3 linked regions of the Danio rerio genome follow. The protein of the gene in region 1 purifies or fractionates together with the protein of each later gene. This does not show direct contact. Links are inferred from orthologs where the notes say so. Each region holds a gene or a part of one and is shown in the gene's direction. Other genes may lie near its edges. The genes, in order: pop4, rpp40 and rpp38.

Region 1 (4,818 bases):
TTTTTTGGATCAGCCAAAAAGGGGAGGAGACAAATGTCATTTTGCTTTCCATTTGTTACAAAAACAGTACTGAAAGACTCTTGGTTTTAACAAACAGAAATTAGAACCTGTAATTTATTAAATAAAATAAAGAAGTAATCAGAAAAAATCTTATTTTCAATAAATGATTAGGTTATTCACTCAAACTTCATTTGTCTTTGCTAGATGTGTCATTTTTGAAGAATTATTCAGTGGCATATTTTTGATGGCCTCCTATAGGTTAAATAATGAAATTGCTGCCTACAACTTTCATGACGGTGATTTACATTTTTACCATAAACATCAGTGATTTTATCTACAATATAGACTGTAATCCCAGTATTTTCTGTTTTTTATTTGACTGTTGCCTGGGTGTTCCCTATCCCCAAGATCCCAATCTTTTAATAATTAATCGTGCAGCTTACACTAAATGCATTAATGTAGGCTAAACGGGTAGTGACAGAAAACACCTTTAATGACACCCACCATATCCCAAATAACCTGCCACAACTTCTTCTTTCATCATTATATTTAACAGGAAAGCCTAAATGCTTTCATACATGTAATTTGAATGATCCAAGACGTGATCTATCTTCAATCGTTACAAATTCAGGATTAATCTACCATTAAAAAAAATGTATTAATCTGCTGGCCACATGTGTTCCAAACCGTGGTGTTATGATTGTTATTGGTGATTGTGATTCGTTACACCCCTAATTTAAACCTATTTCATGGATGTCTTCTTATGTTCAGTGCAAGATAAGCACTGTGGAAAAGCTTTCATTTGTTGCTAGATCTTGCTAGATAAAAATCAGCAAACAAAACCATGCCATTGATCAACAAAAATAAATTAAGTCATTTAGATTAAAAATAAAAAACAAATATGACAATCCACTTTAGATGTGTCATAATATTACGCCCAACAACATTCTAGTTAAGAGAACATTGTGTTTTTCAGCCTTTCGCTACAAAACACATCTTTCTGCTTTTAGGCGGTTTTCTTAAAATCCTGGAATAAATGTTTTTTTACTAGTAATATTTCTGTTAATATAATGGATACCAGATGACAGTGTTGCTAATAGTCTATTTTATAAGTGAGAAAAGTGATATGTAAAATGACTTATTAAATGATAAATTTAAGTTTTAAAAATCCTTTGACTTTCAGTTGTGGTAGTCCCATAGACTGTAAAATATATGGACGTAGTATCCGTGACGTCATCCATAGGTTTCTGAACATTGCAAAAGAAGCTACAAGTAGGCGCGTCTTCGCACTCACGGCGGGATACCAAACAAGGGCAAAGAGGATGAGAGTGAATGGAGCTAAAGACACCTGCTGGCATTTAGCTTGGACCTTGCTTAGACAGACTTTACTTTGCGAGAACACTTGATACTTCATTACCTGTGACTCGTTTGTCTTCTGACCACATGTGCTTGGTTGTACACTATATCCATAAAGTGTTTAGACTTTTAAAAACACTGTTGTACCACATTGAGCCACTAAGCATCGTTCTTGTGACGTTTTTCTACAGGAGAAAAAAGCAAATTATATGCTTTTGTATGACAATATTTCAGATGACTGTTCTAGAGCCTTCAGCTAATCAATCTGTCAGATTCTGGAGTGCTTTACAGGTCTAAAGAACATTTATAAATGATAAATAATCTCAAATAAGACCAATGCATTTATAGAGTTGGTATAAGTATAGAATTTCACCCACGTGAATGGTTTGTGAGCACAATAAAGTGAAGACAGCATGCAATATCACCTGACAATTGTAAGAAATAATTCCAAAAAGCAATTGACTGTGTAAAGCCACATAAAACAAAAATACGATGTATATCCCGAGTTCAGCACCTAATCTGCCGGAGTCAGCTGAGGTGAAGTGACGGTGACCAGCGAGACCTAGCTGTCACTCAAGTGGCCACGCCTTAATTATGCAGACTTAATATAACCTAATATAAACGAAACGCATGAGTTATATATAAATTCAGCACCTTCACAGTTGTCATGAAGGGTAGTCATAGCTATATGAACCAAAGTTGTTCTTTAAACACCCTTTTTTTCTGCTGTAAAGTTGGCCATTCTAATAGTGGGCTAAATTGAAATTTGCTCCAAATGGAGCAATGCGGAATTTCAATAAATTGCAGCTTCAGTTACTTCCGTATTGGCTTCCCGAGGGAGAGCGGGAGATTGCCGCTTGGGTAGTCCTCAACATAACATTATTAAAATTTAATTATTTAAATAAAATAAAAATTTTAATGGACTCTTTTCACAAGCCTTTTATGAGGTGTTTAACGGTCATCATAATCTTAAATCCTTGAAAGTTTGAACATGTAATGTATTTATGAATGTATTATAACATCTTTGCATCAAATTACAAAAAATGAATTGCCTCTTACGTGAGGTGTTTCTAATGCAGCATCTATGGAGCTGAGAGTAAATTTGACGTTATTCTCTCATCTGGCAGCCGTCATCAGTCTCACACTATTTTTTTCTTTCTGAAAGTCTTGACAACACCACCAAGGAGTGTTTCTCTTATTTCAGCTAATAGGAATGTAAAAAAAATATATGTGTTTTACTCTCCTATTCACTGCGCTTTTAAGTTTACCCAACTATGAAGTCTTCTGCTACTGAGAAACCTGGAAATGGGAAAAAGGTCTATTGGTCAAACTTCATACTAGGCCTGTTGTGGTGCACCAATATTTGATGTCAACCACAATATTTCCAAAATTAAATACTTATACTATGTTTTCTATAATATAACTCATCCCCAGTAACATGTTATTTATATGAATTTGATCGATTGCATTATATATAGCTTGTTTTCTTTATAGATATCACAGTGATATATTTGGTTTTTTTGGCCCTAAAATCTGACAGTATAATTTTAAAGTAATCAACTTTTTTGTTAACACAAGTGACAAAACTCCAGGAGACCACTACTTTCATCATATTTTATGATATTTATTTGCCATTTTTGTTATTTACATCAAATATTTGATTGTTTATGAATGTTACTGTATTTTGAATGATGGAAAAACATTCCCTCTGTGATCAGATATAGTCCAGACTAAAAAAAAAAATAATCATCTTCCTCAGTCTACTCCCAGTCATTAGGCACCTTTCACAACCTCTTTTTACCAAATGAATGCGTCTTGTAGATTAACTTTTTCCCCACTCTTGCTCCTTTTCCAGTTATACCAAAGAGGAACAGTGTGTTCAGTGTGGAGGTTGGAGGTTTCGTTTCTCACATCTATGGCAGCAAGTTTGAACTGCGCTCCAGTGAGCGATCAGCCAAGAAATTCAAAGTCAAAGGGACTATTGACTTGTAACGGACCACATTCACATTGTCATCTTTAACTAGTGTCTTCTACTGGAGCCCAAGATCCAGTCAGTATTCATTAATCATGTCATTTATTTTGTTTTTAATCTAAGGAAAGATTTTATTTCCATCGCTTATATCTGTAAAACTAGATTCCTTTAATGTCCACAAGGGGGAGACATTCACCCCACCCATTTTTTTTATTTTCTTTTTTGTAGAGCAGGAACAAGGAAATTCAGCCAATTCATTTTTTTTATATTTATGAGCTCATTTATTTAACTAAAACAAAGGCAGGACTGTAAATACTTTAAATAAAGAAATACAATACAAAGCAATACTTTGTCTTTAAGAGCATGTTTAAAGCTTCCTTTTAATGTCTTTATGACAGTACATCCTCACTTTACATCTGTTTATTGTGTATATTTAATTACCAAAGTACATTTAGAAGCTGTGTTTATAGAGTTTAGTTTTGGGGAAAGGTGATGGTGATAGCTGGTACACCCAATCAATTTTATTTTTTTATTTTTTATTTGATAGAAGTAAAATCCTGCATACAGTGCAATAGTGGCTCAAACATGTAAAAGTAATGCGTCCTGTTGACTGAACACAGGTCTTATACACTTCTGTTCTGGGTCAAATGGTAAATGCAAGAACTGTCAGTGTTTTTAGTTAAGTTAGTCAAACTGGCAATAAAACTTGCAAGAATTTATTAGTGATGCAATACAGGGTACATTAATGCAGACGATCACTAATACTCTACCTTGAAAGCATACACTAGAATTTACATGCGTCTCTTAAGGTTTGAGCAGTGTGTCATGATTTATGAGTGGTTGCATCATAATTGTGCATCATCAATATGCTAAATCGGAACACATTTGTTTTTATGAGCACTTATGATTCATGTTCTTAAAGCATCTGTAATTAGCAATGTACAGTGCTCAGCATAAATGAGTACACCCCATTTTGCTAATTAATATTTTTATTAATTTGTCAGTAAATGTAGGTCATATTTTGGTGCATTTGACTAATTTATTAAATGGATATATTTATTTAAATAATATTTTAGTAATCAAACACATTTAGAAATTTAAAGATATTTTTAAAGATTCATGCAAAATGTTGGAAAACAATATTACAAACTACAACATTTTTAAAATTTAAGTTTTTCTTGAATTTTGCTCATTTTAAATGCCTATATATATATGTGTATATATATATATATATATATATATATATATATATATATATATATATATATATATATATATATATGCTTCAGTACTGACTAATGTATAAGCATGCACAAATACATTATTATTATTTTAAAGCTTCCTATTGTAAATATTAATTTAAATAAGACATTTGTAAGCGTTGTACTTGTATATGCTGAGCACTGTAAATGTTAAATCCAAAGACAGATTAAAAAAAAAAAAAAGTACTATAATGAACTGAATGTCGAACCTGAAATTTGCACAAACTT
Region 2 (4,418 bases), on another chromosome or scaffold:
ATATTAATTGGTGAGTGAGCTTAGAAATAATTTTAAAGACTAAATGCACAGAAACCAGTCATCGTGTCATGATGAGTTCTTGTATAATTGTCTTCTATTGTTTGTTGAAATCTTATTTTCAACTTCAAGTCAGATGTTGCTTTGTTTCCAATCAAATTTGTAAATTTTAACAGGAAAAAATGGAATATCATCTTATTCAATTGATAGTTGACCCCAAAGTGAAAATTCTGCCATCACTTACTCCTCCATCCTCCACTTGATCCACTTTAGTTTTTTCCTCTTCTGCTGAACATGGTGGAAGATATACTGAAGCATGTTGGAAAAAACAGCCATTGGCTTCCATAGATTATATGGGTTATATACAGGGCTGGAGTGGGACTCTTTTTCAGCCCTGGAGTTTCAAGCCTTAGACCGGCCCACCTCTGTTCACCACTGACTATATTAAAATAAGGTCATTTTCAATTCAGTTTCTAATTACACTATCAAGTCTTTTTTTGAGAAAACAGCTGTTTTAGAACTTCAAATGTTCAACAACCCTTACAGTATTATATGTCTTATCAATAAAAATGGAAAAAAAAAAATTATCCCCCAGACGAGGTCCGAACCCGGGTTGGTGGTATTAACCACTGTACCACAACAGCTGTACACTGAATGGTGACTTATCTAGGTATATCAACATTAACCTGCAGGCTAAAAAGATAAAAAGATTAAAAGAGCAGAGCTGCGGTAAAATAATGAATAAGAAGGCTGTGGTCAAGTAAATAAATAAATTATTTTTAAAAAGTGTGACTGCTGATAGCAACAGATTCTGGAGCTAGGAACACCGGCCCTCGCAGCCAACAAACTGACCGGCCCACCGGGAATTCTCCCAGTCCTCCCGATTAGCCAATCCGGGCCTGGTTATATAACTATATATATATATATATATATATATATATATATATATATAAATATAGTTAAAGTCAGAATGATTAGCCCCCCTGAATTATGAGCCATGTTTATTTTTTTTCCCAATTTCTGTTTAACGGAGAGAAGATTTTTTTCACCACATTTCTAAACATTAGTTTTAATAACTATTTATTTTTTTAATACCGGATTTGTTTTATCTTTGCCATGATGACAGTAAAAAATATTTGACTAGATATTTTTCAAGACACTTCTATACAGCTTAAAGTGACATTTAAAGGCTTAACTAGGTCAATTAGGTTAACTAGGCAGGTTAGGGTAATTAGGCAAGTTATTGTGTAGCGGTTGTTTGTTCTGTAGACTATCAAAAAAAAAAAAAAAGCTTAAAGGGCCTAATAATTTTGACCTTAATGGTGTCTTAATGTATAAATCCATAGGAAAAGAGAATTGCAAGCTGCTCAAGCCCCCCTGCTCGCATTCACTGATTTTCAATGTCTGGAATAGACATTTTTTAAAATTCCCTGACCTGTGGAAACCTTTTCTTACTGTTCGCATACCGAGTCAGCGTAAAGTATTCAAGCACATGAAAAGAGAACATTTGTAGCTGTAAAAAAGATAAAGCCGCTTTATACGGTGAAGACTCTCCAGTTTCATTTATTTAATTTCTGCACCTGAATGCTGTTAGTAATCTTTATTCCAGTTACATTTTAGTTTGTAGTGTAATGAACAGTTCATAACGATATATTTCCAAATGATTTGGGTGAAATTGTTGTCATATCACAATATATTGTGAAGATTTATATATGAAGATTTTATCCAGTGCGTTTTGATGTGCACAAAAATATGTGATTTGGAAACATGGTATTTCACAAACTGCCATTTCGTAGTGTGTCTGTGCATCTCTTAAGTGAATTTTATGTGTTTTCAGTGAAAATGCAGCTGACAGTTTCCTGTCTACATATGTGTGTCCCGAGCCTCAGAGCTCCATCAGTCAGGCTGTGGTGTGCAGCGTCACTGGCTTCATCTCACCTGAGAATGTGTTTGTGCTGCTGCAGGAGCTCAGGTAAGCACACCATCACTTCTGTATCACAACCAGCCTTTTATTTACACAACCAGTGTTTTGAAGGCCTGAAAATGCTAACTTTTTTATTTTAAGTGGGTTCTAAAGGTTTTTTTTTCTCTCTTCCAAAGTGGCGAAGTGGCGAAAGCATATTGTTTACAGCAGGGGTGTAAACCAAACTTGGGGTGCCCAAACTTGGTCCAGGAGGGCCGGTGTCCTGCATAGTTTAGCTTGAACATACCTGCCTGGAAATTTCAAGTATACCTAGAAAAGGTGTGTTTAATTGGGGTTGACACCAAACTATGCAGGACACTGGCCCTCCCGGAATGAGTTTGGGCACCCCTGGTTTACAGAGTGAAATCATCACCCACTGCATGCCTGATGTGCATAACAGCATATTTTGGTTGCTATTGTATGCAAGACATTTTAAAAATGCAACAGAAAAATGTTTATGCTTCTAGTACACTGCTGTGAATATGCCCTTCACTATACTGGGACATAAGGACCCACACAGACCGCAGGATGAGCACCTCCTGCTGGCCTCACTATCACCACTTCCAACAGAAACCTAGTTTTCCCAAGTGGTTTCCCATTCAAGCCCTTACCAGGCTCAGTGTACCAATCAGAAGAACTCAGTTTGTTTACAGTAGCGAATTGGAATGACAACTGTTTTATTTGATGGAAAAATGGTGGAGGCATCTTTAAAATAATAATAATAATTCTTAAACTGCGACTTGTGTTTTAGAAGTAATGATACAGTCTGTATGATAACAGCATATTATAAAATAGCAGATTTAAAGTGTTACATTTCATGCAATATTAATATAAATTAATACATTCACATTCAGTTTGTGGTGAAATATGTATAAGTACACATATGCTTAAGTTATTTTCTCAAGAGGATGCTTGTGCTGTAAAAAGCGAGGAGGACATCTGAAACTTACAAGTTGTCTATTTCTCTAACGTGTCTTTCAGGAAGTATTTCGATGAACCGAAGTTCACACCATGGCTTTCCCTCACAGTGCATGGGTTTATGGACAGTCCTGTGTCGTGGGGAACCTCAGAGCACGGCTTCCTCAAAGGTGGTGAAAACTTCTACAATTTTGTTTGTTTCAAGAATCAGGACTACTGGCTACACATGGCCACCGGTGCTCAAGATGCCTGTCCACCTTGAAACGATGGGCTTTGTGTTCAATTGTACAATATAAAAGTTATTTTATTAAAATTCATTTAAGAGGACCAAAGTAAAATAAAATAGTATATCAATTTATTTAGACCAGTCATTTTCACAGCTGTTACATGTTCAGAAACCTAAAAAAATTTACAGATTGTACAATTTATAACATTTAACATATCAACTATAGGAAATACGCATTGCCCTTATATTTATAACAAAATCTAGTTTTGACCAGCGTTTGAAATTAAAGGCAGATGACGTGTACAGCTATGCTGAAAGTCAGAAAACCATAATGAGACTTTTTTTGTTTTTATTTGTCAGTGAAGTGACTGGAATAAAGCAATATTTCCTCTGATATAGCCATGTTTAACATTACACTACACAATGCAAATATGCCAAGACATCCATAAGAGAAAGAGAGAGGGCCGAGCTCGCGCGCACACACACACACACACACCAAAAATGTTTAACGAATTTAAGATATTATTGCAAAGCTTGAGTAAATTGGAACTTTTTTTCTGGGTTGTTAACAGACAGTCTAGGTTAATCCTCACAGATCAAACCAGCTTCACTGACATCAGTTATAAGCCAGCGAAGCAGAGTTTACATTATACACACAAGTTAAAACAGAGAAGACATCATTAATGTCGCAATCCACTTCATAATCAAACATGACCTGTCACATTGTTTTGCAAAAAAATGTCTTTTAAAACAACTGAAGCATTCAAAGAAATACAAATGAAAACAAATCTATTTGCACAATCATAAATATCATTCCATAAACAAAACAAAAAGTCATTTTACAAAACCATTTGGAAAGAGGGAAAAAACACACACGACCACCTGTTATTCCGTGTTATAGAAACTACTACAGCAAATTCAATCTATAGTCAATAAATACTGAACAGAATTAATAACATATATCATTTACACTGCTGGGACTGATTACTGACTTCAATTTTGAGTTTCTGTAGATTATTTAGAGCAGTTATTTTGGAACAGGACAGAGCAATAGTGTATCTGCACCAGAGCGATTTTAAAAAGGGATGGGGTTCAAACCACACACTTCATAGCTGAAAATAATGTTGAGAGGTAGGGCTTTAATATTCCTGCAGGAATTTGTCACGTTCAATAGTTTTGTGTAAGCCATTTTCCTAAACCTACTCCATTCCCTCACATTCTAAAACATTGTATTCCACTGACTAACAGTGCACACTAGCTAGTAACTACAGGCGTTTGTGGAAGATTTTAGTTGATCTTCCCTTAGAGATGGTC
Region 3 (5,721 bases), on another chromosome or scaffold:
GAACGCATTTATTACTCATTCGCTTGCACGAACAGCAGGTTTGCGTAACATGACAAATAAAATTATGCATTCAAATGGATTCGAATTAGAATATATTTAAATATTATTCTGAGTAAAAGCAACTGTGAAAATAACTATAGTAAAATCGTGTCAGGCAAAATTAGGAGAGGAATTATTTGATTACAAATTAGCCTCAAAAATGTAACAGCAAAAGTGCTATATAAATAAACATGAATTGGACTAAATAATATTGACTGTTTCATTTTTATAGCTATATATTTTTATATTTTACCTCTCTAGGTATAAAATAATTTTGAAAGTCTAATTTCAAATAAATTAAAATATAATAACATTTAATATGATCACTTATTCATTTAATATGATCACTATATGTATATATTTAGGAACAGTATAGAAAAAAATTACACTCAACATTTATTTTCACGTTTTTGTGGCATGATTTACAAAACAGTCACTTTATTTGTATTGCCTATGACTCATAATCATAAAAGGTAGATCATGCATTACTTTATGAAGTTATAATTTTCCAATTAGAACATTTGTTTCTGAATTAAATACTTCAATTTTAGATAAAAAAAAATACAATTTAAAAAACTCAAATATACACCAATGCTGTTAAAAAAATCCCTAGAAAAAAACAACGGCTCATTATTTTTACCATGATTTACAGGAGACACTAAAATGTTATTCAGACAGTCTATTTATTATAAAAAAATGTTGTTACAATTATTTTATGACATTAATTGTCTTATCAATTACAATTCATTTGATTTTTAAATGGTTATATTTACTATTATTCTTCAAACCTCTTGGAAATAGAGGAATAGCAAAATTGTAATCTTACATTTTTAAAAATAATTTTATGATCACTCATTCTTTTATATAATTACAGTCCAGAGTAAGTATGCTGTTTCATTTTTCATAATAATATCCATTATCCCAAATGAGAATAGAACATTTTCCCGTATTTCAACATTGATTTTAAAACAAGTTGATTTTAAAACTTTATTTGCATTCTGTTTTGTGAATTTAATATGATGCTGATATCAAAATGGGATGTCCTGCCTTTGACCCATAATCATAAAAAGAGAGATCATATATTCTTTGCTTTATGACCTTATTATTTAGGTTTAGAGGAGATACTAAAATGTCATTCAGATGGTGTAACCTCCTGTAAAAACAAATCTTGTCACAATTATTCAATGACATTTTAAGTCTAACAATAGTTTTATATATATATATATATATATATATATATATATATATATATATATATATATATATATATATATATATATATATATATATATATATATATATATATATATGTAATAAAACAAATATTGTTACAATTATATGATGACATTAAAGTCTGATTGTGGCTAATTGTGGATCATTAAGTGCATTTTTAAATGTCTAGATTTACCCATAATCCTTCAAACCTCTAAAAAGGAAAAACGAAATTCCATAAAGGAATAAAAACATGTAATCTTCAATAAAATATGATATTATTTGTTTTAACAGACTAGAATAATGCTGTTTAATTTTTCATAGTTATAAACATTATCCTAGATTACAACAGAAAATTAAACTACATTTCAACATTTATTTTCAAAGTTGTTTCGTAGCATTACCATGTAGTCACTTTATTTGCATTTTTTTTTTTGCAAACTAAATGATGCAGATACCAAAATGAAACATCTTGCCTTTGACTCATAATGATAAAAAGGTATACAGATCATATACTCTTTACTGCCTTTTTTTACTAGCTTATTATTTTCAATTTAGTCCAAACAATACATTTATCTCTTAATTAAGTGCTCATCAGTTTAAAACAAAGCAATCACTATCAATATTAATATTTATTAATCCTCACTAATATTATTATTAGTCACTGATTTCATGCTATCTATGAGCTGTTACGTTTATACGATTTTTAAATTGAAGGCTTGAAAAACATTAACAACAAATGTCATCAATAAAACAACAACAATCCAGGGGTTTTCAGTCATTTAGTCCAAGATAAGTTAAAAGTCCTTCATCAAAGTCTGTTCGTATTGCTTTTAAGTTTGTTGATCCCGCAATACACTCAAAATACATTTTCATTTCAATTTTGAATTTAGGAAAAAAAGGTTTACACTTACAAAACTTGCTCTTATAAATATGAAATTTGGCCAAAAAAATCAAGGTGTTTATAAGATTTATAAATGGTCTGGCCTGACTGTTTACGTTTATGACAAATTACAACCGAAAAGCTCTTTCGGAAACATTCACTAGATGGCAGTGTGTGCATTACAAACCCTGAACTATTAACCACAGAAGAAGACCTTCAATAACAACATGTCTGCACACACAACTTAGTACACGCTGTAGATGTTGAGCTGAGGAAATCTTCATTTCTGGCTAGTTAATTAGGTTTGTATATCATTTTTGCTGTGTCTTCTTGGTTGTTATGAATACTAAGTTGTTTATAGGCTACATGCCTCGTTGAGTTTAACGTGATTTGTAATGCTAGTTTTTGAACATTTCAAGCTTTCCAGCAATAATGTCGACCCCAGCGAAAGGAGCAACGAAGAAAGAAAAAAAGAAGCCGATACCAGTCAAAACATCCCTGAATAACCCGTACAACATTGGCTGGAGTGACCTCTTACAAAAACAACACAAACATTTAATACTTGACACTCTGAAAGAAAAATTATCCGCCACCGGGCTTCGGAAAGAGCGTGTCAGCCGGTTTCGCGATTGGGGAAGCAGAAGGAGGTCCAGAAAAAAGGCATCAAAACCCACCGAAGAGCAAAACCCAGCTTCTGAACCCGCAGAGAGCGTGCAAACCCCCGAGCCGGGCTGGACCAATCTGGCCCTGAGGAAACAGCTCGCCATCGGCATCAACGAGGTCACCAAGGGCCTAGAAAGGAACGAGCTGAGTTTGGTGCTCGTGTGTAACTCGGTCACCCCAGCTCACATGACGAGCCATTTAATCCCGCTGAGTAAAACCAGGTCGGTGCCCGCCTGCCAGGTACCCGGTTTGAGTGGAAGCCTGTCGGAGCTGCTCGGCCTCAAGTGCGTCCTGGCACTGGGCTTCAGACGCGGGTCCGAGGAGTTCGAGAATACGGTCCGCGCCATCACACCGATGGTCCCACAGCTCCCCGTGGCGTGGATTCAGACAGACTCAACACCAACAACCAAAGAAAAGCGCACAGAAATCGGACAGAAGAGGAAACTAGAAGAGCTGTCGAGTGATGCATCTCCTTTGGTTCTCCAGCCTCTAAAAGTAAAGAAAATCATTCCGAATCCAACGAAAATTAGGAAACCCAAACTGAAAAAACAGAAAAAAGTTGTTTAACCTGCATTCTATGAATGAAGAATGTGTAAACACGTTTATTATATTTATATTTTCAATAGTTTGTGATGATTTTGTGAGTGTATTTTACATTGTGATTGGTGGACTGTCATATTTGATGGTCTTTAAGAAAGCTGATCATTTAAAACTACACAATTTTGGCATTTGTAAAGACACCTTTTTTGAAATTTGGCAGATACTTTGGGTATTCTTACCACCAGAGTCGTTAAATTCATAAACCACTGAAGGGGGAAAGAAGTTTAATGTTAATGTTGAGTGAACCATTATAGGTTCACTTAACATTAAACTTCTTTCATTTTTTAAGACAGGGCTGTCCAAACTCTGGGCTGGTGTCCCGCATAGTTTAGCTCCCAACTTCCACACACCTGCCTGAAAGTTTCTAGTATACCTAAACCACTTGATAAGCTGGTTCAGGTATGTTTAACTGGGGTTGGAAATGAAGTATGCAGGACACCAACCCTCCAGGACCGAGTTTTGACACCCTTGTTAAGATAATTCTTCAGAATCTCAAAAAAAAAAAAAAAAAAGAAAGGCCTTTTTCTTAACTTCAATATTTGCTTAGGCTACTAAATACTTGGCTTGGACACACATTTTTATTAAGTATATGTGATGGTTATGAAAAATAAAAAGCCCCAACTGAGTAGCGTTTTACATTTTGGATGCTTTTATTCAGTCAAATATCCATGCTGGTATACCTTGATGTATATTATTTTTGACAATTAGATATTCGGGTGGACTGTCTTGTTTGACATGGTGCTGGTACTTGTTCCCATCAGTTCCATCCTGCAATGGAGTTCAATAAAAATACTGTCTTCAGAAAGAGAAAGCTGATCGTTTAAAACTACACAAGTTAAACGTTTAAAAAAAAACAACCTCTCTGAAATAAGGCAAGTACTTTAGGTGTTCTCACCATAACCCATAAATTCAAAAAACCATACAGCTCGAGGGGGGAAAAGGATTCATGCTCAGTTCATTCAGCAAGCCTTAGAAAAAACATATGCAAACTGACATTCGCAAAAAAGTGCCCTTGATGACGTTATTGAACGAAACCACTGACTGAAATGTGCGACTTTGAGAGGAGTACCTTTCTTTTGAAGCCTGACTGGACGTGCGCTTATTTAAAAGCAAATTGTAGATTCAGAAACATTAAAGCAAACCATGAAAGCAAAACCAGCTTCTGCTGAAGAATAACGTTCACATTAACGTTCATTAAGCTTCATCAGTGATTGTAACTGAAACAGCAAGCAAGCTTTCCTGACCGCATCACCAAAAGCATTAGGAGAAACGCTTATATCAAAATGAAAACGCACATATGATTGTTCAGCTCTTCTTGTGCTTAAAAATAGCAAAACGATCAGGACCTGATCGAGAAAACGCACCAGTCAAATGAGGTTATGGTTCACTGCAAATACTGAGAGAGCAAAGAAAGTGGAGAATAAAATGTAACAAGTAACTTAAGCACAATTCTAAATATCAGAATTGTTTAGCTAAAATGATGATTTAGAAACACTAGATGGTAAAGAACAGAAACGAGTGGGGGAAAAGAAGCTAACAATCATGCCTTCATGAAAAAAGAAATGGAAATGAATTCACATTCAAAATTCGAAATGTTTCTTTTGGACACACAAACCCTAAAACAAAACATCATATTCTTACAAATGCACCTCAGAGCAGTCCGGCCCTTTTATAAACAAGTTGATGTTGTGCTTCAAAACGCAATACATTCCTCCACACGTGTAACCATTTACTCGCTCCGCAAACAGACAGAAACTCAGAATGCTGTATGAATTCAAAGGCAGCTCCATACAAAAGACTTTGGATTTCGACCCATGTTCCTGTTCCGTTGTAAACCTCACAATACGTAATAAATATCTGGCATTAAATGTACAGCTTGCTAATTCACACAAATGTATCAACACTCCTTCATAGTACAAAACAAATGAACAAAAAGACAAAAACCATGGGAATAAACATGTTCTGAGAGAGGAGACAGATTGCATGTTGAGGAAAATAAACACTACGGTTGTGTATGTGTGTGTATCTGCATGTGTGTGTATGTATGTGCAGCTTGTAGATGTGTTTGACCTTGATAAATGTTTCTCACATTCTCAGAAAGAGAGTCAAAGACAAAGAGAAAGGAGGGAAAGCCCTCAGGAACTGGAACAAGACCTAAGAGAGCTGCACAACAGAACTCATTCACTTTGAATGGATGTCAGTTTTTCCTCTTTATATCGATTACGTCCAAGTCTGAGAATTCAAGGTGGACCTCTGAAATCAGTCGGCATCCAACAAGCAGCAGCCAGTTACTGTAAAACAAGGCCAACCTGCGGAGCATGGAG

The links.
Region 2: the proteins of pop4 (region 1) and rpp40 purify together in Homo sapiens (affinity purification with mass spectrometry; 3 studies listed by BioGRID and IntAct, counting the BioPlex papers as one, with this or other methods). This does not show direct contact. The link is inferred for Danio rerio from reciprocal best matches to the Homo sapiens genes POP4 and RPP40.
Region 3: the proteins of pop4 (region 1) and rpp38 purify together in Homo sapiens (affinity purification with mass spectrometry; 4 studies listed by BioGRID and IntAct, counting the BioPlex papers as one, with this or other methods). This does not show direct contact. The link is inferred for Danio rerio from reciprocal best matches to the Homo sapiens genes POP4 and RPP38.

The regions. Positions count from the first base shown.
Region 1 is NC_133182.1:47,666,488-47,671,305, forward strand, and holds the end of pop4 (ribonuclease P protein subunit p29), read left to right. Parts: intron 1-3,211; coding exon 3,212-3,348; 3' UTR 3,349-3,673; downstream 3,674-4,818. UniProt on the Homo sapiens protein: Component of ribonuclease P, a ribonucleoprotein complex that generates mature tRNA molecules by cleaving their 5'-ends.
Region 2 is NC_133177.1:26,946,293-26,950,710, forward strand, and holds the end of rpp40 (ribonuclease P protein subunit p40), read left to right. Parts: coding exon 1-10; intron 11-1,834; coding exon 1,835-1,969; intron 1,970-2,941; coding exon 2,942-3,140; 3' UTR 3,141-3,232; downstream 3,233-4,418. UniProt on the Homo sapiens protein: Component of ribonuclease P, a ribonucleoprotein complex that generates mature tRNA molecules by cleaving their 5'-ends. Also a component of the MRP ribonuclease complex, which cleaves pre-rRNA sequences.
Region 3 is NC_133191.1:31,717,984-31,723,704, reverse strand, and holds rpp38 (ribonuclease P protein subunit p38), read left to right. Parts: upstream 1-2,329; 5' UTR 2,330-2,436; intron 2,437-2,553; 5' UTR 2,554-2,566; coding exon 2,567-3,364; 3' UTR 3,365-4,023; downstream 4,024-5,721. Other genes in the region: nmt2 (glycylpeptide N-tetradecanoyltransferase 2), read right to left, coding at 5,686-5,706. UniProt on the Homo sapiens protein: Component of ribonuclease P, a ribonucleoprotein complex that generates mature tRNA molecules by cleaving their 5'-ends. Also a component of the MRP ribonuclease complex, which cleaves pre-rRNA sequences.